Linked DNA regions of Sus scrofa. The protein of the gene in region 3 interacts with the protein of the main gene of each other region in a pairwise test. Links are inferred from orthologs where the notes say so. Each region holds a gene or a part of one and is shown on either strand. Other genes may lie near its edges.

Region 1 (2,562 bases), on a different chromosome or scaffold from region 3:
TAAAATCCAAGCTCCACTAGGTCCTGGCCTCTCCCTGCAGCATCCTCCCTCCACACGGGCCGCGCTTGTGCTTCTCCCAAGTGGAGGCACAGCCTGGTCCTCGCCTGACCCCGGCCTCAGCACATCGGGCCTGAGAGGCCTCGCCTGTCCCTTCATCTGATGCTGCCCCTCCCCACAGAGCCAGGCTCTTATCTCGTCACTGTGATCTTTTTCTTCTCTTCATAGCACTTATTGTTTGAAATGTTGATTTGTTCTTGTGGAAACTTGGTTGAGTCTGTCTCTTCCATGGGAGTGTAAGCACCACAGGAGCAGAAACAGGTCCGTCAACACGGTGGCTTCCTGGCAGGATGCCACCTGGCTGTGCGACACCAGCTGAACCAGTGAAGGTTTATATCTGCCTCACTCCCGGCACTGACCATCTTCCAGACAATTCCAAGCTCTTTAAAGCGCTTTAAAACACAAGTTGGGAATTAAAAAAAAAAAATCTGGAGCTTCTCAAAACAAACTTTGAGCAGCCCGGGAAAGGGATTTTGGAAAAGGAGCCATGTCGTGAAAGAGCCTGTGGGAGGGACCACTTCTCACATTGCCTAGACAAGAGAGGCTGCAGAGAGAAAATTCCCTTTATTCCTAAAGAGAACTGTCCAAACAAAGGCTCCTGCTGTAGGCATCATCTTTAGTGAGTCACGGGAGAAATCACAGACATCTTGGTGCCTGTTGTCCTGACGGTGGCCAGATGGGGAAGGGGCTGGGCGGGACCCCCCCACTCTGGGGCCCACTTCTCCACCATCCTCATCCTTGGTCATCGCAGCTGCTCAGAGGCAGACTGAAGTAGAAGAGGTCTGGTTCTCTCCTTCACAAAGAGCCTCCTCTTTGGAAATGGCCTCACTCAGGCCCTGCAGGTCATCCAGCAGGTCGGAGAGGGATCCTAAGAAAGAAAACCCTGGAGTTCCCAGTGTGGCGCAGCGGACACACATCTGACTAGTATTCAGAAGGGTGCAGGTTTGATCCCTGGCCCTGCTCAGTGGGTTAAGGATCCCGTGTTGCTGTGAGCTGGGGTTTAGGCTGCAGTTGTGGCTCAGATCAGGTGTGGCCGTGGCCGTGGTGTAGGCTGGCAGCTGTAGCTCCAATTCAACCCCTAGCCTGGGAACCTCCATATGCTGCAGGTGCGGGCCTAAAAAAGGAAAAAAAAAAAAAAGTAGACCCAGAGGGACAGGAGGCTGTTAGGTCAAGATGCAGAGGAACAGGGCAGCCTCGGGATGTAAGGGTGATGAAGGAGAAGGCTCCTGGTTCAAGGCGGGCGTGGCTAAGAGGCTGTGGGCCTCCAGGGGTCAAGAGAACAAGGTTCATGCACACCAGAGTGCCTGGAGGAGAGGGTCCTGAAGTCCCCGCCCCATCCCTTACCTCTGATGGACTCCTTGGTGCAGCGGGCCACTGCCAGAGGCGCAGGCGCTGAAGACTCAGGGTTCCCTGGGCCAGACTCCACAGGTTTCCCCTTATCCAACAGGGAAGGAAGAACTGCCAACAGTCGTTGCTGCTTGTAACGGGAGAGGAGACCCTCCTGCTGCAAGGTGGCCTGGGAAGGAGAGGATTAAATGCCACCGAGCCGGGGCAGAGCACCGCCCCCCCAACAGCTCTGCTCCCCAGCCAGCCCAGGCAGGGGCCCCGTCTAGCTGCCTCCTACCAACATGAGGTTCTTGTCCCTCTCCAGCTCCTTCAGGCGCTGGGTCAGCCGCTGCCCCTCCTCCTTTCGGGCCTCCTCCTGCAGGCGCCGGAGCTCCTGGTTCCGCTCCTTCTCCCGGGTGGCTTTGCGCTGCATCTGGCGCAGGGAGACCACTATGGGAAAGCCAGGCCACAGGGGGAACGGGTGTGGGCCAGCCTAGAGGCCGCAAGGCACCAAGAAAACAAGCCTGGAGGGATGGGCAGGAACACTGGGTCCCCAGCTCTGTGACTCAGAGGAGCCACAGACGCTTGTGGCCTTGGGCTCTTCCGTACAGAGGGAGGGTGGCCCATGCTCTAGGATCCCATGAATCTGTGAACCCTAAGTACCTTCCCCATCCCCGAACCTTCCCAGAGTCCCTTAGGGGAAATCAGAACAGGGACCGGATACCAGATTGTGTGCAATGCATGTTCACTTTCTTAAAGGGTGACAATGGCACTGAGGTTATAATATAGGGAAATAGCCTAGTTGTGGGAGATGCTGCTGAAAGGTCATGTTTACAACTTCCTTTCAATCTTCCCCCCGAAAATGTATCTATCAATGTGTGTATGTATATACAGACAGAGAGGAAATGTGATCAAAGGTTATTAACTGCTGCTTCTAACCAGACGTGGTATATGAGTCCATTACATGAGTCTTTTTTTGTCCTTTGAGGGGCCACACCCACAGTATTTGGAGATTCCCAGGCTAGGGGCTGAATCAGAGCTGTAGCTGCCAGCCACAGCCACAGCCACAGCCACGGGGGATCCGAGCCGAGTCTGTGACCTACACCACAGCTCACGGCAATGCTGGATCCTTAACCCACTGAGCAAGGCCAGGGATCAAACCTGTGTCCTCATGGATAC
Region 2 (3,716 bases), on a different chromosome or scaffold from region 3:
TCAAAGTTTAGTTAATAGAAAAAGAAGGAAAACGTAATAAAGCAAGCTTAGCTGATGGGAGCATGACCTGGCAGTCACAGAGCATTATGAAAAATATCTCACCAATCAAACCTACCTCTGATGCATCTTAGGGAATAGAAGAGACTGCACTGCACACATCACCCCTCAGGGAGATGCACTACCACAGGGAGACCCACACAATGCCGCCGCCCCCCGCCCCCGCCAATTGTGAGCAGATGCTTGCACCACAAAGATGCTCCAGGGATATTACTAAAGTCACAACACGTCAATAAGGAGGCTACCGTTTTTAACTTCTTTGGTCCAAAATCCTTAGGAAATTCATCCTGCTTAACAGGTTTCTCTTCATCATCAGAATCTTCCAGCTCCGCCTCCTCTGCTGCCCCTTTCTTGAGCCCAGCACTGATGAAGTTGACTGGTGCCGAGTAGTCACGAGCCCTGCAGGTAAAAACACAAGGCCCCACAGCCCATAGGGTCATTAAGAACTCTCCTGAAACCATCCCATGTAGAAACCTTGCTGGCCAGAGAGTTCCTTAGAGTTGACCTTGTGGGATCCATTTTATTTTTTATTTTTTGTTTTTGAGGGCTGTACCTGTGGGATATGGAAGTTCCCAGGCGAGAGGGTTCAACTGGAGCTGTATCTGTAGGCCTACTCAACAACCACAGCAACGCCGGATCTGAGCCACATCTTCGACCTACACCACAGCTCATGGCAGTGCCAGATCCTTAACCCACTAAGTGGGCCAGGGATCGAACCCTCGTCCTTATGGATACTAGTCATGTTCACTACCAGTGAATCACAACAGGAGCTCTTCCTTTTACGTTTTTAAAATTAACTTACTTTAAAAAGCATTTACACCAAAACCAGAAAAAAGAGAAAATTACAGGTCAATATCTTTCATGAATATAGATACGGAAATTCTCAAGAAAATATCAGCAAGCCAAATCCAACAAGACATCAAAAAAAAAATCACACATTATAACCAAATGGGATTCACCCCAAGTTTACAAGGATGGTTCGCCGTGCACAAATCAATGTGATACACCACATCGACAACAAAAAAGACAATAACCACATGATCATCTCAATAGGTGCAGAAAAAGCATTTGACAAAATTCAACATCCATTCAAGTTGGATCATCCATTCAACTCTTACCAAATCAAGTATAGAGGGAACACATCTCAACACAGTAAAAGCCATCCATGACAAACCCACAGCCAGAATGATACTCAATGGCGAAAAGCTGAAAGCCTTTCCACTAAAATCTGGAACAAGACAAGGATGTCCACGCTCACCAATTTTATTTAACATAGTATTGGAAGGCCTAGCCACAGCAATCAGACAGACAAAAGAAATAAAAAGTATCCAAAAAAAAAAGAGGTAAAATTGTCACTCTATGCAGATGACATGATAGTATATATAGAAAACCTTAAGGATGCCACACAAAAATTACTCAAACTGATCAACAAATTCAGCAAAAATTCAAGGATACAAGATTAACGTTCAAAAATCAGTTGCACTTCTGTATACTAAGGATTAAGTATTAGAAAAGGAATATAAAAATACAACATTTTTAAATGGCACTCAAAAAAAATTAAATACCTAGGAATAAACCTGACTAAGGAGGTGGAAGACTTATATGCTAAGAACTATAAAACATTAATCATGGAGGAGTTTCCATTTTGGCACAGGGGAAACAAATCCAACTAGGAACAATGAGGTTGCAGGTTTGATCCCTGGCCTCACTAAGTGGGTTAAGGATCTGGTCTTGCCATGAGCTGTGGTGTGGGTCAACAGATGCGGATCTGATGTTGCTGTGATTTGACCCCTAGCCTGGAAACTTCCATAGGCCACAAGTGTGGCCCTAAAAAGCATAAAAAAAAAAAAAAGAAATTAACTACAGAAATTCAAAGAAATGGAAAGATATTTCATGCTCCTGGATTGGAAGAATTAATATCATTAAAATGGCCACATTACCCAAAGCAATCTACAGGTTCAATGCAATCCCTATCAAATTATCCATGACATTTTTCACAGAACTAGAACAAACAATCCAAAAATGTATATGGAACCATAAAAGACCCAGAATTGCCAAAGAAATCCTGAAGAACAAAAACCAAGCAGGAGGCATAACTTTCCCAGACTTCAGACAATACTACAAAGCTACAGTAATCAACACAGTATGGTACTGGTACAAAAACAGACATACAGATCAATGGAACAGAATACAGAACCCAGAAATAAACCTGGACATGTGGTCAATTAACCTTTGACAAAGGAGGCAAGACTATAAAATGGGAAAAAGACAGTCTCTTCAGGAAGTGGTGCTGGGAAAAATGGACAGTAAATCAATGAAACTAGAACACATCCTCATACCATACACAAAAATAAACTCAAAATAGCTTAAAGACTTAAACATAAGACACCATCAAACTCCTAGAAGAGAACATGGCAAAACATTCTCTGACATCAATGGTACAAATGTTTTCCTAAGTCAGTCTCCAAAGATAACAGAAATAAAAACAAAAATAAACCAATGGGACCTAATCAAGCTGACAAGCTTTTGCACACCAAAGGAAACCATAAAAAAAGCAAAAAGACAAACTACAGAATGGTAGGAAATGGTTTCAAATGATGCAACGCTTAATTTCCAAAATACACACAACTCATACAACTCAACAGCAAAAAAAAAAAAAAAAAAAAAAAAGCTCATCAATAATTATTCAATAAATGCAAATCAAAACTACAATGTGGTACAACTGCACACTTGTCAGAATGGCATCACAAATGCTGGAGAGGGTGTGGAGAAAAGGGAACCCTCCTACACTGTTGGTGGGAATGTAAACTGGTCCCACCACAATGGAAAACAGTATGGAGGTACAGCAGAAAACTAAATATAGAACTACCAGATGATCTAGCAATCCCACTCCTGGGCATATATCCAGACAAAGATTTCAAGGAAAATTATACACGCACTCCTATGTTCATTGCAGTACTAGTCACAATAGTCAAGACATAGAAACAACCTAAATGTCCTGCAACAGGGGAATGGATTAAGAAGATGTGGTACATATGCACAATGGAATACCACTCAGTGATAAAAAAGAACAAAATAACGCCATTTGCAGCAACGTGGATAGAACTAGAGACTCTCATACTAATTGTATCAAATGAAGCAGGTCAGAAAGAGACAAATACCATATGATTTCACTTATATCTGGAATCTAACATGTGGCACAAATGAACCTATCTACAGAAAAGAAACAAATTCATGGAAAAGACTTGTGGTTGCCAAGGGGGTGGAGTGAGAGGCTGGGGTTAGCAAATGCAGCTATTATACGTGGAGAGGATAAACAAGGTCCTGTACAGCACAGAGAACCATATTCAGTGTCCTATGATAAACCAATTAACACAACACTGTAAATCAAATATACTTCAATTAAAAAAACAAAATTTTCTTCTGGCCATGCCTGTAGCATGTGAATGTTCCCAGGCCTGTGATCAAACCCATGCCAGAGCAGCAACCCAAGGCACTACAGTGACAATGCCAGATCCTCAGCCTGCTGTGCCTCAAGGGAACTCAAAATTTTTTTTTTCTTTTAAAAATAAACACAAGGAGTTCCCACTGTAAGCACAATGGGATCACTGTTGTCTCTGGAGCACTGCAATGCAGGTTTGATCCCTAGCCCAGCATAG
Region 3 (4,344 bases):
AAAGAAAAAATTCTTTCCATAACTACACGTTTCTTATGACCTGCCCTCCATCTCAGTACCTCTCTGAACTCACACCCTACAATTCTCTCACTTATTCAGCCATTGCCAGCTCACTGTTCCTCATTCTTCCCAGTCACTTTCCTGCCTCAGGACCTTTGCACTATTCCCTCTGCTTGAATGTTCTTTCCCTTAACATCTGTATTACTTATCTCTCCCCTTCCACATCTAACCAAAGTCACCTTCTTTGTGAGGACCAACCTCACAAATATTATTTAAAATTGGAAAAACACCCCTCCAGCTTTCTAAATCTTTCTTACTTTGCTCTTATAATAATCTTCAACCATAATACTTACTTACTTACTTTGTTAATTTTCTTTTTTGGCCTATTTCCCTTGCCTAGAGTGTCAGCCAAGCAGGGAGAGAGGGAGAGAGCATTTTTCTGATTGTTCACTGATATATATATCTCCAGTGTCTAAAAGAGTGCTTGGTGCTTAGTGATTAGTGGCAGATAATTCTTGGTAAATAAATGAATGTGACTTCTAATGGATGTTTTATATTTCAAATAAATCACCTTGGCAGCCTATATACATGTTCCCATAATGCTGCTCAAAAGTATCACATCGGTAGACACTGACTTTTTGAAAAGAATGCTTTCCTTGAGAAGAAGTTATTCAGAGCCAAATCTGATGAACACATTCTGGAGTTGTGTTAAAATGCCAAACCTGTGTTTTCCAACTAAGTTACTGCATTTGAGTGGATAGGGAAAGGTCAAAAAACAAGATGTGTTTGATGTCTAAGACAGTAAACTGACTGTGAACATAATTTCAAAGAAGAATTCTAAAAATATGCACCAGTAACAAGTCGCAGGAAAAGCACACGTGTATTTTAAAACTCTATATGCTTCTGTGTATGTGTGAATGAATCCCTTCCAAACTTTCTGCAGACTTCCATTCTTGCCTCTATTAGATCAGTCTTTCAAAAATGAAACTCAGACCCTCTCAGCCCCCTCTCCCAATTAAGAATCTTTCATGCCTCTCATTGTGTTTAGCATGAAACTGAACTTCCTATCCACTCATGCATGCATGACCTGGCGCCTATAGCCCTCTTAAAACTCTCACTTTTGTACACAAGTGCCAGCCATGGCAGCTCCCTTTTTTCTCCTTTGGTTCTTTGAACGTGCTATTCAGTCTGCCTGGAAGGCTCTGATTCTTTTTCATCATTCAGATCCCATGTCTATAGGTAAAGCAGCCTTTCCAGGTCTGGTTTTATTGGTTTAATCGTTTGCTTGCTGCTCGTCTGTCTCCTCCCACCAGAATGTAAGCCCCATGAAGGTAGGGACTTTGCTGGTCATGTTTGCCTCTGTAGTCCCAGCCCCTCTGTGCCTGCACTACAGGGTTGCTAACCAAACTGTTAATGGTAAGATAGCTTAATATTCTATTAACTTCTGTAATACATTAATTTTTACAAGTTTATATTTTTTAAAATATTTTTATTTTAAGCTCTGATGTTAATATATGTAATAAGTTAATAATCCAACAACCTTTTTTATTAGGGCCTATATGCTGTAGCAGATAAGATGGACTGAATCGCTGCTACTTAATGGCCTCACTTTCATTAACTCTCTGATGTGGCCAGGACTGTCTCTCCAGGGGTGGCAGGGAGGATAAACAAAATCTTGCTGGAATCTGTACTGGGAATTTTTTATTTTTTATTTATTTATTTTTTTGTCTTTTTGCCTTTTCTCGAGCCGCTCCCGGGCATATGGAGGTTCCCAGGCTAGGGGTCCAGTTGGAGCTGTAGCCACCAGCCTACACCAGAGCCACAGCAACGTGGGATCCAAGCCGCGTCTGTGACCTACATCACAGCTCACGGCAACGCCGGATCCTTAACCCGCTGAGCAAGACCAGGGATCGAACCCGGAACCTCATGGTTCCTAGTCGGATTCGTTAACCACTGCACCACAACGGAACTCCCTGTACTGGGAACTTTCATACCTATGGCCTCATTTTATCCACAAGATCAATTTAACCCTGTTCATAATTAACGGCAAAATAGTACAGGACCGATTCCAAGGACAGCAAAACTTCAGAGACGTTGCTGTGGGCTGGAGTGGTCAGGGATCACTCTGCGGAGGAGAGGGACCTGGATAGGGCCTAGGGGCCATTTTCACTCTGCAAGCCTGCCCGTAGGCAGAGGCCAGATCGCTAGCTCTTTCCTGGTCTGAAAGGAGGTCTTACATTTAGCTGGGCTTGGCTCTTCTAGCTAGCTGAGTGAATCTCTGCATCTTGCTGCATGTCCAAAGACAATTCATTTCTAGCCAGTCCCTTTGGATTTGGGTCAGTAGTAGTTCAGCTTGAAATAACAGTTCTGTGCCATTTATAAAGTGCTGGCTGAGTTTGCAGAAAAAGCAGACCACCTCGACCCAAGTAAAGATTCTCAGAAAAGGAAACCATTCCTCATCATTACCTGCCCTGCCACCCTGCCCTACCTGACCTGCCATGCCGCAACACCGTACACAAACACACAGAACAGCAGACAAAATGCCTGATCATTTTCTAGGTGTTCCACTCTTAGTGCTTTAGATTTTTGTCTGGTCTGCTGCGTGTTTTGCCCTACCTTTTGGGAAAGGTTTTGTTGTTGTTGTTTTGTTTTTGTTTGTCTTGGTTTGTTTTTTTTGAGACGCATGATTTTTACCAGACTCTAGCGCTTTGGTTTCCAACTCTCCATTTGTCCCAAGATTCATTAATTTTAAAATATGTCATGTAAAACTTGATTGTGTGGAAATCACTCCAACAGTTAATAAGGTGCTATCATAGAAACGTGATCACGTACCCAACCAAGGTAGTTCTCAAACCCTGTATTTCCAAGATAAAAGCATACCTCCTTTAAGAAATGCAATGAACACACATTTAAGACACACACACACAGAAACTTACCTTGCTGACTACAGTGGCCTCTAAACCCTTCTCACCCAGCAATTAGACTCAGTCTGCTCTTCTAAGCTTGCAAATTTAAACTCTGAGCATTGAGTAGACAACAAAAGTCCCTCCCAGGAAGTATGGGGACTATAAATGACCCAAACTGTTTTTTTAGTTATACTGAAATAAATTTAAAAACCACGGAGCACAAAGATCCAGCATTCACTTGAATAGTTCTGATATAATTCTGCACCAAAACACGCATTTATTTCACACAGTCTTAGTTTCCCTGCTGTTATTTGAAAATTTCCTCAACAGTTTAATGCATATTTATTGAATGATTTAAGACCCTGCTCACAACAGAAACTCAGAGTTTCCCAGGAAAACAGAATAGTGACAGTCTGACATTGTTGTGAAGAGGTACAGTGCACTAGTGCCCTTGAGTCCCATGGCCTGGGCTGAAATGCCAGATCAGCTACCTGGGTCCATGTAACGTCCCTAAGCTCCCAAGCCCACTTGGGGCTTTCTTCCCCTGGGCATTCTGTTTAGTAAACAATAAAGCTTCAGGGTTTAGGTTGTTTGATGATCCCAACCAAAAACATCCTGGGAGCACATTGAAAAAAGAGCTCTCATGAAGTGACCTAAGGGTGTGATATTTCATTTTATTGGTACAAATATACTCACGTGGCACATGTGGAAACAGTCTGGTGAGCAAAAAAGTCAGTGAAAAATGAAGTATAGGAGATTTTTACAAAGGACTGATTGAATGGAATAATTAAATGGAAGCAAGGAAAATGTGGGACCGTGTCTATGCTTTGAATTATAAATATGCATCTCAGATATTAATGGTTTTCTAAATTATATTTTCCTTCTTTACCAATTTAGGCCAGAAAAATTAAGATACATTGATGAAGACAGTTTTGCACAAAATGACTTACTGTTTTGAAATTTTCAGGCCCTAGCACTATGTCTTCTGGCTAGTACTTGCTTTATATTATAGATATATTCCAGCAAAAGTCATGTCTAAATAATGTATTTAGCAATCAAATCATAATCTAAATGTACTAGTGAAACTAGATGTTTAAAATTATGATAAATCTATGTCCATGGTGAATGACACCTTTGTAAAACAATCTCCTATCATCATCTCCGTTCTATAAGATTATATTTTAATATGTTGGATTTTCTTTAAAAGAGTTTTACCTGTCATTACTTAAAACCCAGACTTTTATGTGAAGAGTTTTTGGGAATATACATTTCAGTACAGAAGGCTGAAGTGTTGCAATAAAAAAAATAGTTCTTATCTTTTTATTCTGCAACTGGCAATTCAATTTTACCCTAGTTATACATTTCCATTTATTTCATTATTTATATTTCACACTAGGCAAATTTCTTTTTCTGTGTTCTCAGTGGAGAAGAAATCTGG
Region 4 (4,186 bases), on a different chromosome or scaffold from region 3:
CTCCTGGCTGGGCCGCTGCTCCATGGCGTGCCGGAGCTTCAGCGTGTGCTTGCGCTCCACCGAGCAGTCGTCCTCGGCCTTCATGAGGCTGTGCTTGAGCCGATCGATCTGCGGGGCCGCCCGTCAGCCCAGCCCGGGGGCCCGCCGCCCGCCCGCCGCCCGCCCGGCCGCCCCGCCGCCAGGCACCTCCAGCTGCAGGTCTCGGTTGCGCATGAGCGCGGTGCCCCTCTCCTCGCTCTGACGGGCCAGGCGCAGGGCCAGGTCGTAGTTCTCGTCCTTGCAGCGCTGGAGCTCGCGGCCGCCGGCCTCGCAGGCCTCCTTGAGCCTCTGCGCGCGCTCCTGGTGCTTGCGCAGCAGGCCGTCCTTCACGCGCAGCTCCTTGATGAGGTCGTCCTTGGAGCCCAGCAGCGCCGTCAGGTCCTGCGCCTTCTTCTGCAGCTTCATCACCTCGCTCATCAGCAGCTGCGTCAGGCCGGACTCCCCAGACGCGTCTGCGGACCGGGCCTCATCAGACGGCGCGCCCAGCAGCCCAGCATCTCGCGCGGCTCCAGGACCGGCGGCCCGGGGAGCCCGGCCCAGGGGTCTGGTCCTGACTCACCTGCAGGCCCCGTCCCCAGCCCCTCCCAGGACGGTGCAGCCAGGGGCTCACGTGTCCCTCCCTCTTTGTCCACTTTGGTCATCTTGATTGAGAGGCGAGGGGACACGACTCAGGACCAGGAGAGCGGCACCTCTCCGGCTGCCGCGGCCTCTCGGGAGCAGGGTTTTAGTGGGGTCAGGTGGTCTTCTGGGCAGGGGGGCTCTGAGCCAAGAATCAGCCTGTGCCTCCCCTCCCCCTGCTCCCGCCCTGGAGTTCAGGTCCCCCTTCCCTCCGGCCCCTGCCCCCTCCCCGGGCTGCAGCAGGAGAGCGGGCGGGCGGGCCCCAGGCGGGCGGTATCCTTCCGCCAGAGCGCATGCACGCTTTATCCGTTAGGGGCCCAGGTCAGGGGGGCGCCCCGGCCCCTGAGTCCGGGCCCTGGGTCCCCAGGCCCGGTGCCCTTCCTCACCAATGATGACGGAGAAGACGCGGGTGGGCTCCTTGCCCGTGACCTTCTTGTAGAGCTGCGGGTAGTAGAGCTCCAGGCTCTCGAGGAAGGCCACGTAGCCCTTGTGGCCGGTGCGTTGCAGGATGTCCAGGAGCACGCCTGCAACCCAGATGGGCCTGGCTGGGGGCCGGGGCGGCCGGCGTCCCCAGGCACGCGTGTGGCCCCTCGAGGCCCCGCGGGGTGGCCGCAGAGTGGGTCTGGGCCAGTCCCCATCGGCCACCCACCTCGTGTGGCTCTCCCAGGGGCCTCTGCTGTGCATGGCGGCGCCCCGGCCGCAGGCAGACAGGTTGGTGATGGGGGGGGCGGGGCGGGGGCCGAGCCGGCCAGGCCTCCCGGGGACAGGGACGAGCGTGGGCAGAGCCCGCCGCCCACGGCACTGACCCACTTTCCGCTTGCGGATGACCAGGCTGGGGTCACTGAGCACCTGCTCCTCGTCGTCGGGGCTCAGGACCTTGCACTGGCGCAGGTAGGGCGTGATGCGGGCGGGGTCGATGACGGAGATGAGCTTCACGCGGAAGCCCTCCAGGCCGCTCCAGCACTCGTCCTCGTTCTCGTAGTCGGACATGGTGCGGGCGGGCGCACTGCTCCGAGAGAGGGCCCGTCAACTGGCCCGCCGCCCTGCCCTGCCCTGCCCCCGCCCTCTGGCCGCTCTGGGCTTCCTCTCCCCCGCCCCCGTCACCCTGGGCCCCTGCCCCACGCTACCCCCCCAGCCTGTGCCCAGGGAGAATCCCCCTCCCCGAGCATTGTGGGCGGGCAGGGAGGCTGCCTCCCTCCCTGGAGGTGAGGGGGCAGCAGGAGCTGTTTGGGCCGAGCGCTGGCACAACCTCCCCGGCAGATGAGGGAGGGGTCCCGGTCCACCCCCGGCCAGCCCGCGCCCGGCTGGGGCGCCCCCCACCTGCGGGCGGCAGGCCATGCCACGCGGGACTTCCTCATTCCCCCGCACATCCACTCCCATCCCTTCCTCTGCTTCCTGTGGCTGGTGATGCAACAGTTGCCCAGCTGGCCCGCTCCGGTCAGGCCCAGGGACGTGGTGCCCTCCAGGAAGCGTGACTGAGAGCAGCCCACCGGAGGGCCCTGGGCACATGGGGAGGGCCCAGCTGTGTCGCCCAGGCAGCCCAGGACGCGGCTGCGCGCCTCCTCCAGGCTCTGGGTGCTGGGCACTAGCTGGCCCCGGGCTCTCCCCATCTCCTCGGCCACAGTGCTGAGCACGGGGATGCTGGCTCCCTGACAGGGGACCATCTACGTGGAAGCTGCTCTCTGCTAGCCCTTCCAGCAGCGGGTGGGCAGGGACCACGCTCTGGGGCGGGCTGAGCAGGAGCAGCCATGTGGCCATGCCTCCTCCTGGGGGAGAGGGGTCGGGGGGCACAGAGACCCCGCCTCAACACCTGGGACTGAGCCTGTAACCTGCCTGGGAAACACCGGCTCCCGGGCCACGGGGGCTGGGGCACGGTCCCAGAGGCCGTGGTATCCCAGAGGCCGTGGCTGTGGGTCCCACCGCCCTCGGCCCGCCCGCCTAGCGACAGGCGCGGCGTCCAGAGGAATCACCAGCACCTTGGTGGCCGGTCTCTGGACCTGGCCTGTTGCGGCCTTTCTAGCCTCAAGTCCACAGCACCCACGCCTGACGATGACCTGCTGTGCATTCCACCGAAGCGACCGTGCCAGGTGGCTGCGAGGGGGACGGGGCAGCAGAGGTGAGGCCGTTTGGTGCCCTTCTGGGGTGTTCACGCCAGATCCCTCTCCCTGTCCCAAGAGTCCTGAGCCACCTGGGCTTGCCGCCGCCTTTCCGAAAGGGCACCAGACCAGCCTACCTTGGGGTCCTCCTGAGGCACCTGTGCAGTGGCCGGTCGCCGGCCAGCCTGGGCCGCCAAGCCGGTGTGTGAGCGGTGGGAGCTGCCGCGGCTGCCGGCCAGGGAGGGTGGGGCGGGAGGGAGCGCACTTCCTGGCGTTAACCCCGCAGGGACCATCCCTGCGGCCGCTGCTGATTCGCCCGAGCAGGGCGGCCTGGGGGGCGGGGGAGGGAAGTGGAAGTGGCTCCCCAGGAAGGCTGCCCAGAGCCCTGCCAGCCAGCGCAGGGCTGGCCGCGGGGCCCAGGGCCCGCCCTGGAGGCCCAGCCCTGACCCTGAGGAGTGGGGAGTGCGAGCCAAGGCTTGACAGAGCTCGAGCCCCTGCTGGCCCACTTTGGTCCCAGGAGGGGGCGGTGTGGTGTCCCAAAACAGGGCCCCGGGCACAGGCGCCCCGCAGCACACTGGCCTGCTGTGGCTGGCACGGCCCCGCCCCTCCTGGGACCACCCCTTCTCCACCAGGACACATGACAGTGACAGCAGCCCCCCACCCCAGCACTTCAGAAGGGCTGCAGAAGGCCGGGCAAAGCCTGGAGCCCAGCCCTGGCTGCCAGCTGCACCCTGGCCAGGTTGGGGAATCCCCAGGCCACCGCGCTGCCCGGGGAGCTTTGCCAGTTGAACCGAGCTGCCAGCTTCAGCTCCGCGAAGGGGCTGCGGCTGGACGGGCTGGATGGGAGCCTGGCCGGTGCTCCCGGCTCCCCCTTCCTGAGGAGCTTCCCTCCCGCCTGGCCAGCTCCCTTCCTGTGGGGTCTCACGCCTCAGGCCGTGTGGGGGCTTCTCTGCCTTCTGCCCAGGATGGTCAGCGGGCCACTTCGCAGAAACCTTGGGCGTCCCGGCACAGACCTGGCACTGCTGGGTTGCGTGGTGGCCTGGCCTTCCGGGGAGCTGACATCACCCTCTGGGCATGGGGAGCCCCCTGCGGGAGCCGCGAAAGCCAGGTGGGGACTTGGTGCAGGAGACTGAGCCACCGCCTCCTACATGCCCAGCAGGCAGGCTGGTACCGGGCCCTCAACGACCCAGTTCCCGTGGCTTAGAGCTCAGGCAGACGTCGTGTGCTCTGGGCGAGGCAGCAGCCACAGAGACGTCGGGACCCTCACTCAGCATTTGGAAATTGAACAAGAAAACTTAGCCCACAGGTCAGAGGAGGTCGCGAGAAAAACTGGACTCGGTTAACTGAGTCCCGGGTGCAAAGGGACCCCCCGCCCCTGCCAGGGGGCGTCAGCCTGCGGCCTGTGTGACGCGTCACACCTGGGTGCAGGGGGC
Region 5 (4,371 bases), on a different chromosome or scaffold from region 3:
ATCATCCGCACCTCCTGATGTACCCCGAAAATCCGAGCAAACAGCTGGAGGAGAGCATCTGCTGCAAGAACCCCCTGGCCCCCAAAGAGCTCTTCTTCTCAGCACCCTGCTGGGCGACGAAGGACAAAACTCCAAAACACAGCGGGCCAACCCCAACCCTGAGCGCAAGCCCCCCACCCCAGAGGCCGCAACCCCAGAGGCCGCAGGGGGAGGCAAGGCTTTACCTGCAGTTCTCCTGGAAACGGCACTTCCCCTCCAGGAAGAAGGGGCAGGGCTTCAGGGACTTGTGAGTGGGATACAGATAGAGCACTCTCACGCCCGGGGCGCCGTCCTCCGCCTGCTCTGTGCCCACGATCATGGCGTTGTGATACTCCAGGGTGCCCCACGGGCTGTAGTAGGGGGCGTTCACCTTCCTCCCACTCAGCTCGGCCGCGTCTTCCTCGTCCTCCCCCTCTTCCTCCTCTCCAGGCTCCGAGGGGTCTGGCCCTGCCTCGTCCTTAGGAACAGTCTCCAATTCGGCCCGGGGCGCTGCTGGCACCTCCACCACCTCGGCGATGGCCTTCTGGAAAGCCACGTACTCCGCATCTTCCGGGGCTGGGTGCTCTCCGTCCAGCGTGGCCAGCAGCTTGCTCTTCCTGACGGACACCAGGCTGGCCTCTGTGAGCTCGATCAGCTCCTTCAGGTCCCCCTGCAGCTGGCGCAGGTCCGCCAGCTCCGAGGGATCCAGGCCGGCGCCCAGGGCCAGTTCCACCTGCCGCAACTGCGCGTCATAAGTCCGGAGGGCGGCCTGCAGGCTCTCCTCGTCCATCCTGCCAGGAGGGGCTGGTTGTTCGGCCAGGCCGCGGGGTTGGGGTGGGTGTTCTGGGTCCTCCCAGGGGAGGCGTGGGGGCCACAGCTGCGGGGAAGAGAAGCCAAATGAGCCTGGGACGGGCCACCGCTGCGAGGCTGGCCCTGGGCGGACAGCCCGCGGAACCGTGAGCTGCCCCCCTCCCGTCTGGGCCAAGAGAGGTTTCCAGCTCCGATCCGGCGAGCCAGAGCCGGCTCTCGGCCTTGGCCCCACAGCCGCAGCTCCCTTCTCAGGCGCCCCGGGGCGCTGCCGTAGGCTCTTCCGAGGTCTCCGCGCCTCAGCCGGGTGCCCCGGCCCACGCCCCGCGCACCCCCGCCCCGGCTCAGCCCGTCACCTCGCCACGCCCCAGACCCTCTCGCTCCGGCCGGGCCCTCCTCCGCACGGTCTCCCGGCCGCCGCCACAGACGGCCCGGCGGCCTCGGCGGCCCCAGCGGCCCCGCGCCCCGCTTCCGCCCTCGCAGCCGACAGGCACTTCCGCCCTCGCGCCGCCACCGCCGGAAGTGCTTGGCGCGGGGGCCGCCGGGACGGTTCCGCCCCTCCCCGAGTGGCCGGCCCGCGTCCCGTCGGGCGTCGCGCGGGGTCACCGCGGGGTCGGCGCGGGGTCGGAGGGTCAGGCGCCGCAGCTCCGGTGCCCTGGCGGCTCCCCCACTCCGGCGTCTCCCCGGCTTCGCGGCCCGGGCGAGCGGGCGGGCGGGCGCAGGTAGGCCGGGGCGGGCGGGCGGAGCCGCACGGCCACTCGGGGCCGCCGCCCGCCCCCACGCGCCCTCCTCTGAGGGGCGCCTGCGGCCGTCTTGGCCCAGGGCCGTCGAGGAGACCTGGGCGGAGCGAAGCCCGGAGGGAGGCCGGACGTGGGAGCGAGGGTGCCGGCAGCGCCGGCCGGGTCGGGAGCAGCTGCGGAGGCGCCGGCGGCAGTGCCGGGCAGAGAGGAGGCGGGTCGGCAGGGCCCGGGGCTCCAGGTCTGAGCGGACAGCAGGCCGACAGACCCTTCTGCCGCTCGGGGAGGCGGGGTGCGGGTCGGATCGCCGGTGACCGATCGCTGGTCTCCGCGCAGGATGTACACGCTGCTGTCCGGCCTGTATAAGTACATGTTTCAAAAGGACGAGTACTGCATCCTGATCCTGGGTCTGGACAATGCCGGGAAAACGGTACGTGCCGTCAGCGCCCCGCGCCCCCCGCCCCGAACGTGGTACTTTTGGTATCACGCATTTAGCTGCGTGTTGTCCAAAGATCCCAGCCCCCTCTAAGACCGGGGGACGGCTGGCACCGGCTGCCTTGATAGCAAAACGGTGTGCTGTTTTGCTTTGTCTTAAAGGAATAGGCCCAAGGAGGGAAACTTGAGAAACAGGCCGGAAAACCATTCCAGCTCCTCTCTCCTGCCTCTCTCTCCCTCTCCCCGCAGACCTTCTTGGAGCAGTCAAAAACCCGCTTCAACAAGAACTACAAGGGGATGAGTCTGTCCAAAATCACCACCACCGTGGGTCTAAACAGTAAGGGGGTTTCTTGAGGGCTGCGGGCTTGGCGGGCAGACCCCTGAGGGTGCTGTGATGGCCACAGGCCTGCAGGCAGGCAGAGCACCAGAGAGCCCCTCCCCAGGAGGGCTGGGAGGTGGGGTGTCAGGGACCAAGGCCACAGCCTCTCCTGTTTTCTTCTCGCCCAGTCGGCACAGTGGACGTGGGCAAGGCTCGCCTCATGTTCTGGGACCTAGGGGGGCAGGAAGAGCTGCAGTCTTTGTGGGACAAGGTAAGAGGGGGGTGGCCACACAGGCTCCCGGCCTGCCTCTCGCACCGTCCCTCCCGGGCCACCTTGGTCTCTCCCTGCCTTTCCTGGGCTCACCTTCTCTCCTTGCGGTCAGCAGCTTGGCTCCTGAGCCGCCCTGTGCTGTCCCAGTGCCCAGGGCGCTGTCCCAAGAACAGGGACATGCTGGGTTCCAGGCTTAGCGATGTTATGGCTACTCACCACAGGACGAAACAGAGGATGGCCGAGGGGCAGACGTGGGGAAGACACAGCGCCAGTGTGGTGCTCGGCCTCAGCGCCGGGGCCTGAGTTGCCATGTGTTCCGGCTCAGGACCTGTGCTCCCGCAGGGGACGTGTCCTCCAAGGCCCACAGCAGCCACCTCCGCTTTTGATGGAGGTCTGAGTCCTTCCTCCGACCTCCACATGGGGCTCTCCTCCCCACACAGCCCAAGGCCAAGTCAGTGGGTCCAGCAGAGAGGACAGAATGGGCCTCTTCCCTCAGCCCCGCCCAGGGGACGCCCACCCAGGGTGTGGCGCAGCCCAGTGCTGGGGCGCAGACGCGCCCATCCCAACACTGGCTGGTGGCCGGGTGCTCAGGACCTGATTTCTGGTTTGACGCTCGCAGCAGGTGCCCAGTCACTTTTTCCTCGTCCCCCAAAGGTGTCCTCCCTAGCCTGCCTTCCATCCAAGTGGGCGGTTTCTGTCTCGTGGTCAGAACGTCACTGACAGGTCCTCTGAGGCCATTTAAGTGGGACAAAGGCAGAGTCAAGCCAGGGGCTGTTTGTTCAAGTCCTCGACCCACATGGGAGCAAAACTGGTCCTGAAGTTCCGTCACAGGCTGGAGTCTCCGGAGCAGAGGCTACCTTGGGGATTGGGGTGCAGGATATCCTGGGGATCAGCACCAGGGGGCGCTGGGGACTCGGGACTGGGCACGGCAGGGGCGTCTCGGGCAGCTGCCCCACGTCAGGCCACGCTGGCCAGGACTCCATTCCCTTGGCAGGTCCCCACAGTGGGCCACCCTGGGCAGCTGTGACAGGGTAAGGTGCATCAGAGTGGGTCCTGCAGGAGGTAACACGGGCCACGCACTGGGTGCAGTGCCCGCCATCAGGCAGTGAAGCCACAGCCCGTGGCAGGTGCACACTCCTTTCGCTCCTCCGCCTTGGGGGTGGCTTCTGCCAAGGAGAAGCTGGCTTGGTGGCTGGTTGTGACCCCCTTCTGTCCACTTCTTTTGGCCCGGTGGCCTCATCACGAGGGGCTGAGCCCTGATCGTCGAGCCTGCCGTCTCTGGTGGACCCTGAGTTTCTCATATGCTCCCCAACTTCTGAGTGCAGTGGGTGCCCTGCCTGCTGCCAGCAACAAGGTGTGGTCGCCCCTGGCCATGGATGGGGCTGCCTGACATGCCTGGGAGGCAGTGGGGGGGTTGCCACTTGGCTGGTGAGCGGGGGGCCACGGGGTGACCACACACCAGCCCCCACTGAGTCTCTGGGAGGGTGGAAAGCTGGGCTTCTGCTCCCACCCTGGCTCCCAGATGTAGTGTCCTGGGGCCTGCCCTGTCCCCACGCTGCCCAGCACCACTGCACCAGCATCATGTCGGGTGGCCGATTGTTCCCCTCTGGCAGATGGCTGGCGACCTTCACCCCCACCTGCTGCCCTCCGCTCACGCTGTGTGCTGCTGCCCACATGGCAGCTTGTCTTGCACTGGACGGGGGCCTGTGGGGCGGGGGGGGGGTGTCCAGATCCCTGGCTTTCCAGCTGGGACAGAGCAGCCAAGAAGCAGTCAGGCTTCAGGG
Region 6 (3,716 bases), on a different chromosome or scaffold from region 3:
TACAAGTTTACTTTGAACAAAAATTAGTGAGATTTCTACCTCAAACCAATCACATACAATTCTAAATAGTTTTAACAGCTAAACAAAAGGCAAAATACAGAGTAAGACAAGGTGTTCAGGTGTACGAGCATAAAGCAAAAGACAAGCTGCCTATGTCACAAAGTAAAAGAAGCAACAAAAGAAAGTAGGTCTATGATAAATATAAAAAGAGGAGTATATAAAAAGAACCATAAGAAAACAAGACAAGAAAGTTGGGCAGAGGTTATAATTATGCAATACAGAAGAAACAGGATTATTTGACATGGAAATATCAGTATCAGAATAATAAGAGAAATGCAAATTAAAATACCGATGTGATGATTATTTCTTCACCCAGACTGGCAGAAGTTAAATACTGATACTATTAAATGTTGTACAATGTGTATGAAAACAATGAAAAGGGAAAAAACCCTTTTCTAAATACATAATAGTGAAAAGCTTGGCAAAGATAACAACTATAAGTTACCTCTCGGGATGAAACTGGGATTTGGGTTTTGGTTAAAGAGAACTCTGGTTTACCTGTATTAAATTGGCTTTAATAATGACACTATATTACTTGTGTATTAAAAAAGATAAAAGAATTTTAAAGACCAAGAAAAAATATTTTATCCTAAAGTAGTGCTTGTAAGTGTGATTTATGGACCATTTCCAGCGTGCAATGAGATAAGTATAGAAATTGAGTGTGTGTTTAGAAATTTTTATAGGAATTTGATAGATTTATTTATGACTACTGAATCTAATAAAATTAAGCTTATTGAATCTAATAAAATTTAAGCTTATTTTTTTGTCATTTTCTTTTTTCGAGTAATTATTTGTTAATATTTTATGTAAGTGTAGGTCTGTAATGGGTTAAAAAGAAAATTAACAGTCCTTTACAGTTTGAGAATCGCCCTTTAAGTACTCATAGATATGCAGGGTTTGCTTAACACAGTACACTTGAAAGAAAGATGTAAACTCTGGCCAATTAGGAACTTTGGATTATGGTCCATTCAGTCACCTAGCTAGAAGAGTAAGATCAATAGTTGAGTGGTCTAATTCAGAGGTGGACAAATTTTTCTTCAAAAGGCCATATAGTGAGTATTTTAATTCTTGTACGGGCATGTAGTTTCTGTCACAACTACACAATTCTTCTGCTATAGTCTGAAAACAGCAATACACAGTATGCTAGATGGATCTATGTTCCAATAAAACTATTTCTAAAAACAGGTTGTGGCCCAGATTTGGCCCTTGGGCCACAGTGTGCCAACACCTGGTCTAATAAGCCCATTTCAAAATCAATGTGAAAAGATTATAAATCAGTACTGCAATACTTTCATTCATTAAAGTCAACATTTTTCTTTACTTTTGCTGTAACACTGAAACCCAGGAGTGAAATTTACCAATTTTAGGTTCTATTCTAAGCCATGTTTTGCAGTTACAGCTACAAATATAAAATAGTCCCATATTTTACACACATCATAAGTCCTGGGATATTCTCCTACTATAGCTTTATAGTTAGAAGAATTTGAGTTACAAGTACCTGATCTGAAGGCCTTAGAATTCTGGTCTGATGTCTCATATATTATCCAATAACAATATAGTCATCAATTATGGAATCAGAAACATCTCAAATGCATCTCAACTGTAAGATGACAGACCTACCTCCCACTAAGTTTTACAGAATGTGTTCCACAGAAAATATAAAATAATAATTTTACCATTCTTATTACCTACCCAGATCCCCAACTGTTTAAACACCTGAAAGGTGTAAGCAGATCTTCAAGCTGCAGGTGATAAAGAGCTCAAATATAGTGAATTCCACATTCAGCAACAAGTCAATAAGACGTATTACAGTGTTCCTTATGGATGCAACAAGAAATCTAACAGCACATTTTCCTATTGATTCTGTCTTCAATATAAAGTTTACCACTGAGAGAAAATATGCCAAATTTCCATACCCTAGCTAATAGAAATAAATCTGGAACAGTGTACTTGTTCTCCAGAGGAGATAACCAGACCTACAAAAAACCTAGAGATTAAAAGGACAAGAAGAGGTTCATGAATTCCCTAGGAAGACTCTGCCTCATGGGATCCCACAAGCCAAAGAACACGTTAATCACAGCAGGAGCAGAATTGACTATAAAAAGCCAAATTCTTTTATTATCTCGTGTTTAATCCTGTTGAAAAAAAATCTGATTTAATAGGTAAGTCAGTTTTACCCATATGAGCATTCACCAATTAAATGACATTTTAAGCTAAACACAATAATAGTTATATCTGTTCTAGGATAACAGTGTCCCATCTACTTACGTAATTACGTTAAGTGCAAGCTCAGGAGAGTGACATCTCTCCAACTTCTGTTTCAGAACAGCAACTTCTTCAGATCTGGGTGGTTCATATTTTTTTACCAAGTTTCTCATGCCTATATGTATATAAAAGAAAGGATCCACATCAGATAATGAAAAGTATGGTTCTCATAAAGGGGATGAATAATATTTTCCCATCTAGTTTTGGGAACAACAAAGAACACTCCTGAAATGTGGTTATTATTATCAGGATTATTATTTCACATTAGAATTCAATGAACACCATACTCAAGTTACTATAGCTTCTGCTGCTTAGCCCGCGTCGTGTACAGCATAACGATAAGCAGGCTTTGCTAGTCAGTATTTTTTCCAAATCCTACCATGGTCACTTTACTCAGTTTTAAGGCTTTTAAAAAATCCCTATATGATTTAGTAAACAATCTTTGTTCTCTACCACCAACTATATTCATAACATTCTGTCCTACAGATGGAGGGCCTCATGTACAAGGAAAACATTATTATGTAATATGCAATGAAGGAAAAATGCTTATAAATACCCGTCAATGATGCTTTGCTTTAACACAATGCGGAACCTATACAATGAAGCATCACCAAGAAAACAAAAATACCCTCCTTATGCTAAAAGCAAACTACTACAGTGACTAAGCACACAAGGATTCTCCACCTGGGCCCTTTATATTATTCAACTACCACAAAACAAAGAATATAAATCTCATGATTTTTATAAGGAATGATGAGAGAAACAGGGCTAATTAGCCAGCCATGTGCTCCAAATGAGTGACTTATTTCATAAAGCAAATAAAGCAGTGTTTGCATCAAAACCCTTGGGACAGTATCTTGTGTGTGAAAAATTATGAATAAGATAATACCATTCCAGCTCTGAGTTTCAGCAAGAGCTATTCTTATTTTACATTTAAACAAATGGAGTAAAATGAAGGTAAGTGTCAGCTATAAAATCAGCACAGTGGGTTACCTTTAAGACCTCTTGTACTTACTAAATTCCTGGATCCTAATATCTATGGCCAAATCACAATTAGTTTTGGAAGTGAACCCTCTAGTGGTATAACTGAAAACCTACAGTTTTCTGACTGATAAATTCATCACTCTCACTTAAAGAGGGAAGACCTCGAGATCATTTCCAACAAAGAATCAAGAAATGATATTTACATGCCCTGAGGCATTTTAACTTTTGAAACATAAAACATAAAAACACTGATTAACTAATGTCATCCAAGATCAAGATCTTCAATGTCATATTTTATTGGCTTACTCAATATTTAAACCAGAAATTTATTCATAAGGACAACTGGCACAAAACATTTTGGAAACAAACATAACTGACTTTTAACCCTGAAGATGTGCATAGTAGCC
Region 7 (4,421 bases), on a different chromosome or scaffold from region 3:
CCCCCTACAGCGTCCCTCGTCCTCACCTAGGGACCTCCCCATGGATGTCCTCCCTGCTCACCTTCCCGTCCCACATCCTGGACTCACCTGGATGTCACGGTCCTGCTTCATATCCTCTGGGGGGTCCTAAGTGGAGACACCAGGGCAGAAACTGGGGATGTGGCTCATGCATCTTTTCTGTGGGTGGGGCTTCTGGGGAGCGGGGGTTCTGGCCCCATATTAAGAGTAGGGTGTCCCTAGGAGTTCTTGCTGTGGAACAGCCAGATCAATGGTGTCCTGGGAGTGCTGGGATGCAGGTTTGATCCCTGGCCCAGCACAGCGATTTAAGGATACTCCATTACTACAGCTGCGGCTTAGGTTGCAACTGAGGCTTAGGTCTGATCCCTTGCCTGGGAACTCCACATGCCGTGAAGTGGCAAAAAAAAAAAAAAAAAAAAAAAAAAGCAGGGTGTTCCTAACTCAGGAGGAGTTGATTGACTGAGAAGTATCTATTTCCTCAGGGCAGGATGTGTGACTTCAGTTGTCCTTAGAGCAACCCTGAGAGGTAGGCATATTTATTACCCCCATTGTTCAGATGGGGAAACTGAGGCCCAGAGCTGGGAGAGGGCTTGCTGAATTTACCCTGAGTGAACCTGGTGGGGCAGGCCTGGACCCCATGCTCCTGTCCTACTCACAAATGCCACACATTTGTTGGCATGGTGACAGGTCACCTCTTTGAGGCCATGCTGCTTTAGGCTAAGTGCTTGGGCTCTGGATTTAGGGAGATGGGGGTTGAAATCCTGGCCTCATTACCTCCAGCTGTGGGGGTGTAGCCAAGCCATTCCCACTACTGAGGGACATCTAAGAGCCCAGGTTCTGACTCTAGGTGGCGGAGGTTCAAATCCCAGCTGTCACCTGCCTTCTGCATGAACCTGGCAAGTGGCTTCATCACCCTGTGTCTCAGTTTTCTCATCTGTAAAATGGACATGCTAGTATCTTAATAGGACCTGTCTCATAGGACCTGTGGCAATGAAATCAGTCAACAGGTAAAAGTCCTGGAGTCCTGCCACAGGGGAAGTGCTTTATCAATGACACTCTTTGCTATTTTATCATACTCATCATATGTATAAATGTAAATATATGAATGTTAAGAGTGTAATTCATCCTTTATTACACTTTTTAAGAACTCTATGCTGGGCCTTTTAGACAGGTGAAACCAGTGCACCAGACACCAAAGCCATCTAAGGGGCAAAGTGGCCCTGTTGTGTCTATGCCTCAAAGCCTTTCATTCATTCATTCATTCATTCCTTTGGGATCCCCTGCCCCTCTCTCCTCCCCCACCTCCTGCTCATCCCAGCCTGTCCGCATGTTCCTTTGCTCGCACAGCCTCCCTCTTCCAGGAAGACCCTTTCTGACTCCTCCCCTTCCCAGGGATGACTCCTCCCTGATCTTGAACAACTTCCTTCCAACTCCTCCAGGAAGCCTTCCCTGACCTCTGTGGCTCCTCTGTAAATGACATTAATCCCGATTCATTTCACTGGCTAGTTTCTTGTCTCACCCCCACTGAATACAGTCAGCATGTAATGAGCACCTACTGTTTGCAGGCCCGCCAGCCAGATACAAGACTGAGAGGTGAATAAGTGAATGAGGCTGTACCATGAGTTGTGGACTGACAGTGCACAGCGGGGGCTCAGCGTGAATGAGCTTACCCTTCTGTTCTCCCTCCCCTTAGCACATCCTTTGAGGGAGAGGGACAGTTTACCTGGGCATCCAGGTCATTACTCAGTTCCTGTCCATCTTTCTGCTTTACCCCTGGTGGGGAGAGTAAGTGTAAGTGAAGGGCCCTTGAAAGATCTTGTGGGAGTTTCAGTGTCCCCAGAACCCCTGATACAGACCGCTCCCCAAAGAGATGATCTCATCGCTTCTTTCTACCCCCAACACAGACCACACCCCCCTCCAGTGCTCCTCTGCAGAACCCCCACCAGGCCCTCGATCCGGCCTGCTCACCGTACACGATGGAGCGCCCCACTCCGGTGTGGTCGCTGCCAAATTTCCTCATCAGAGTCCCCGCCTTCTTGGGGGATACCTTCCCATGAAACTTCTCCCGGAGGCGCCGGACGCTCTTCTCCAGCTGGGGTGGGGACAGGGGGCTCCGAAGGAGGAAGGAGAGGAGCGATGGCCCTTCCCCCATCCCTAGGCATCCTTTTTCTTGGCCTGAACTTGACCCTTGGTTTTGGCTTCTGCACAGCACCCCCCCCCCCCCAATCCCTCTACTGCATTTCCTGGAAAAAGCCAAAGTCCCTACAAGGCACTGGGGGAGGGAGCGGACCAGGGTGAGCGTCCTAGGCTAAGAGAGGAGGCCCGCCAGGTAACCCCTGGCCTCTGACCCTTGACCCAGCAGCCTCCGCTTTTCCTCGAGGAGGCCGCATTTCGCTCTAGGGCATGTGGTGGCCACTCTCCTTTCTGAGGGGAACGAGTGCCAGCCTAAGGATTGGTCTGGGTTTCAGATGGAGTCCCCAGGAACTGCGAAGCCCCTTTCGCGCCCCGAACTCCTCCCCAGCATCTCTCGCAGGCCCCCGGCCCACTGGCAGCCATCTCCTACCTCCACACCTTCCTGAGACATGGTGGCGGCGCAGGTCCCAGCGAGGGTCCGCACTGCGCGCTCAGCGACCCCCTACCTGGGCGCGCCCGTCGGTCCTGCCGCCGCGCAGGGCAGGGGGCGGGGCCTCCAGGCGGGCTCCGCCCTTCCTTTCCGGCCCTCCGTTTCGCTTTCGATAGGGAAAGGGGGGACGGGGCGCGCTGGCTCCGCCTTGGCTCCGCCTCTGCTCTTGCGCCCCAAACCCAGGCGGGCGCCACCGATCTGCACCCTGCGGCGGAGCGCGCAGACCTCGGGCGGGGGAGGCAGCGCGGCCTCTGCAGTCGGTCACATGTCCCCACGCTGCGCGGGGTCCGCGTCTTCACGTCCCTCGTGGGGGTGGGGCCGCATCGGAAGGCCGCGGCGAGTTTCCGCGCCCCCGTTAGCTCGCGCCCCCCCATTTCATTGTTCCATCCCCTCCCCTCCCCGGGAATCAGGCAGTATTCAGCACCTGGACCCCTTTCTTGCTCTGAGTCTCTTACCTGGCCACGTCCCCTTTCTGAACCTCAATTTACTCCTCTGTAAGATGGGATGATGGTAGTGGCTACAGTCTGGGTGTATTTTGGCGGCGGGGCGGTGGCGGGGGCGGTGTGTGTTTGCCAGGATTCGATTCCCTGCGTAGAGCAGTTAGTAGCGCCTGGCAGGTTGTAGACACTTAACTGGTCACTGGGTCACCTACTATGTGTAAGATAAGGAGGGGCAAGCAGCTGGGGGGAAGGAAGAGATGCTTGTTAAGAACACAAATTCCCGGGGTCTCTAGCAGTTGTCCAGAGTTAGGCTGTCTAGGGGATTACAGGGAATTTACACTGTAAATGGGAAGGTTGAGAACCCCAGGGGTCCGAACTTTTCTAACCTAGCAGGGGGCGAAGAGGGGGCTAGAGGAGCTCTTAGGAAGGGCTCTGGCCCAGCCTGAAGGCTTCAGAAATGGCTTCTCTGAGGAATCCTTGAAGTATGAGGTCTCAGCTAAGCGAAGAATGGAGTAGGGAAGGAGGGAGCTAGTCCTGCAAAGACCCCAGAATCAAGAGAATCTAGCGCTTTAATCTAGGGCTTCTCAACCTCAGCTCTACTTGGGGCTGGATGGTTCTTTGTGGTGGGGACCTGCCCTGTGCATTGTAGGGTTTTGAGCTGCATCCCTGGCCTCTACCCACCAGATGCCAGTGGCACACTTGCCCCAGTTGAGACAACTGAAAGTGTCTCCAGATGCTGCCAAATACCCTCTGAGGGGCTAAATTGCATTAGGACAAATGACTCCAAAAATCATTTTTCAGTGAGCACCCCTATGTTCAAGCTCCATCCCCAGGTGGCTATTTGTGTATAAACTATATACAAATACAATTATACTGAGAGATTCCATAGATTATTTAATAATAATGTATTCAGTACATAAAGATATTCCTCAGCAGACTAAAAAAAAAAGGACATTAAAAATAGAAATGTTCCGGGAGTTCCCGTCGTGGCGCAGTGGTTAACGAATCCGACTAGGAACCATGAGGTTGCGGGTTCGGTCCCTGCCCTTGCTCAGTGGGTTAATGATCCGGCGTTGCCGTGAGCTGTGGTGTAGGTTGCAGACGCGGCTCGGATCCCGCGTTGCTGTGCCTCTGGCGTAGGCCGGTGGCTACAGTTCCGATTCAACCCCTAGCCTGGGAACCTCCATATGCCTCGGGCGCGGCCCAAGAAATAGCAACAACAACAACAACGACAAAAGACAAAAAGACAAAGGCAAAAATAAATAAATAAATAAATAAATATTATTAAAAAAAAAAAAAAAAAAAAAAAATAGAAATGTTCCGGAGTTCCCACTGTGACG

Evidence for each region.
Region 1: the proteins of SSX2IP (region 3) and CCHCR1 interact in binary tests that used the Homo sapiens proteins (3 or more experiments, as listed by UniProt). The link is inferred for Sus scrofa from reciprocal best matches to the Homo sapiens genes SSX2IP and CCHCR1.
Region 2: the proteins of SSX2IP (region 3) and TFIP11 interact in binary tests that used the Homo sapiens proteins (3 or more experiments, as listed by UniProt). The two-hybrid records come from large-scale screens. The link is inferred for Sus scrofa from reciprocal best matches to the Homo sapiens genes SSX2IP and TFIP11.
Region 4: the proteins of SSX2IP (region 3) and CARD9 interact in binary tests that used the Homo sapiens proteins (3 or more experiments, as listed by UniProt). The two-hybrid records come from large-scale screens. The link is inferred for Sus scrofa from reciprocal best matches to the Homo sapiens genes SSX2IP and CARD9.
Region 5: the proteins of SSX2IP (region 3) and ZGPAT interact in binary tests that used the Homo sapiens proteins (3 or more experiments, as listed by UniProt). The two-hybrid records come from large-scale screens. The link is inferred for Sus scrofa from reciprocal best matches to the Homo sapiens genes SSX2IP and ZGPAT.
Region 6: the proteins of SSX2IP (region 3) and CCNH interact in binary tests that used the Homo sapiens proteins (3 or more experiments, as listed by UniProt). The link is inferred for Sus scrofa from reciprocal best matches to the Homo sapiens genes SSX2IP and CCNH.
Region 7: the proteins of SSX2IP (region 3) and C2H19orf66 interact in binary tests that used the Homo sapiens proteins (3 or more experiments, as listed by UniProt). The two-hybrid records come from large-scale screens. The link is inferred for Sus scrofa from reciprocal best matches to the Homo sapiens genes SSX2IP and SHFL.

The regions. Positions count from the first base shown.
Region 1 is NC_010449.5:23,543,317-23,545,878, forward strand, and holds the end of CCHCR1 (coiled-coil alpha-helical rod protein 1), read right to left. Parts: intron 1,834-2,562; coding exon 1,682-1,833; intron 1,574-1,681; coding exon 1,402-1,573; intron 926-1,401; coding exon 813-925; 3' UTR 603-812; downstream 1-602. UniProt on the Homo sapiens protein: May be a regulator of keratinocyte proliferation or differentiation.
Region 2 is NC_010456.5:44,106,094-44,109,809, forward strand, and holds part of TFIP11 (tuftelin-interacting protein 11), read right to left. Parts: intron 457-3,716; coding exon 303-456; intron 1-302. UniProt on the Homo sapiens protein: Involved in pre-mRNA splicing, specifically in spliceosome disassembly during late-stage splicing events. Intron turnover seems to proceed through reactions in two lariat-intron associated complexes termed Intron Large (IL) and Intron Small (IS).
Region 3 is NC_010448.4:129,047,799-129,052,142, reverse strand, and holds the start of SSX2IP (afadin- and alpha-actinin-binding protein), read right to left. Parts: upstream 2,958-4,344; 5' UTR 2,937-2,957; intron 1-2,936. UniProt on the Homo sapiens protein: Belongs to an adhesion system, which plays a role in the organization of homotypic, interneuronal and heterotypic cell-cell adherens junctions (AJs).
Region 4 is NW_018084833.1:1,342,118-1,346,303, reverse strand, and holds the start of CARD9 (caspase recruitment domain-containing protein 9), read right to left. Parts: upstream 2,872-4,186; 5' UTR 2,322-2,871; coding exon 1,978-2,321; intron 1,664-1,977; coding exon 1,464-1,663; intron 1,182-1,463; coding exon 1,044-1,181; intron 492-1,043; coding exon 187-491; intron 109-186; coding exon 1-108. UniProt on the Homo sapiens protein: Adapter protein that plays a key role in innate immune response against fungi by forming signaling complexes downstream of C-type lectin receptors.
Region 5 is NC_010459.5:62,639,516-62,643,886, reverse strand, and holds the start of ZGPAT (zinc finger CCCH-type with G patch domain-containing protein), read right to left. Parts: upstream 2,900-4,371; 5' UTR 2,804-2,899; intron 2,588-2,803; coding exon of another isoform or gene 2,505-2,587; intron 2,335-2,504; coding exon of another isoform or gene 2,247-2,334; exon of another isoform or gene 2,160-2,246; intron 1,993-2,159; coding exon of another isoform or gene 1,900-1,992; exon of another isoform or gene 1,861-1,899; intron 1,804-1,860; exon of another isoform or gene 1,582-1,803; intron 1,548-1,581; exon of another isoform or gene 1,402-1,547; intron 1,321-1,401; exon of another isoform or gene 1,182-1,320; intron 896-1,181; 5' UTR 809-895; coding exon 225-808; intron 1-224. Other genes in the region: ARFRP1 (ADP-ribosylation factor-related protein 1), read left to right, coding at 1,900-1,992, 2,247-2,334, 2,505-2,587. UniProt on the Homo sapiens protein: Transcription repressor that specifically binds the 5'-GGAG[GA]A[GA]A-3' consensus sequence. Represses transcription by recruiting the chromatin multiprotein complex NuRD to target promoters.
Region 6 is NC_010444.4:94,994,437-94,998,152, forward strand, and holds part of CCNH (cyclin-H), read right to left. Parts: intron 2,441-3,716; coding exon 2,329-2,440; exon of another isoform or gene 1-2,328. UniProt on the Homo sapiens protein: Regulates CDK7, the catalytic subunit of the CDK-activating kinase (CAK) enzymatic complex. CAK activates the cyclin-associated kinases CDK1, CDK2, CDK4 and CDK6 by threonine phosphorylation.
Region 7 is NC_010444.4:68,940,734-68,945,154, reverse strand, and holds the start of C2H19orf66 (UPF0515 protein C19orf66 homolog), read right to left. Parts: upstream 2,910-4,421; 5' UTR 2,603-2,909; coding exon 2,582-2,602; intron 2,111-2,581; coding exon 1,987-2,110; intron 1,792-1,986; coding exon 1,742-1,791; intron 127-1,741; coding exon 88-126; intron 1-87.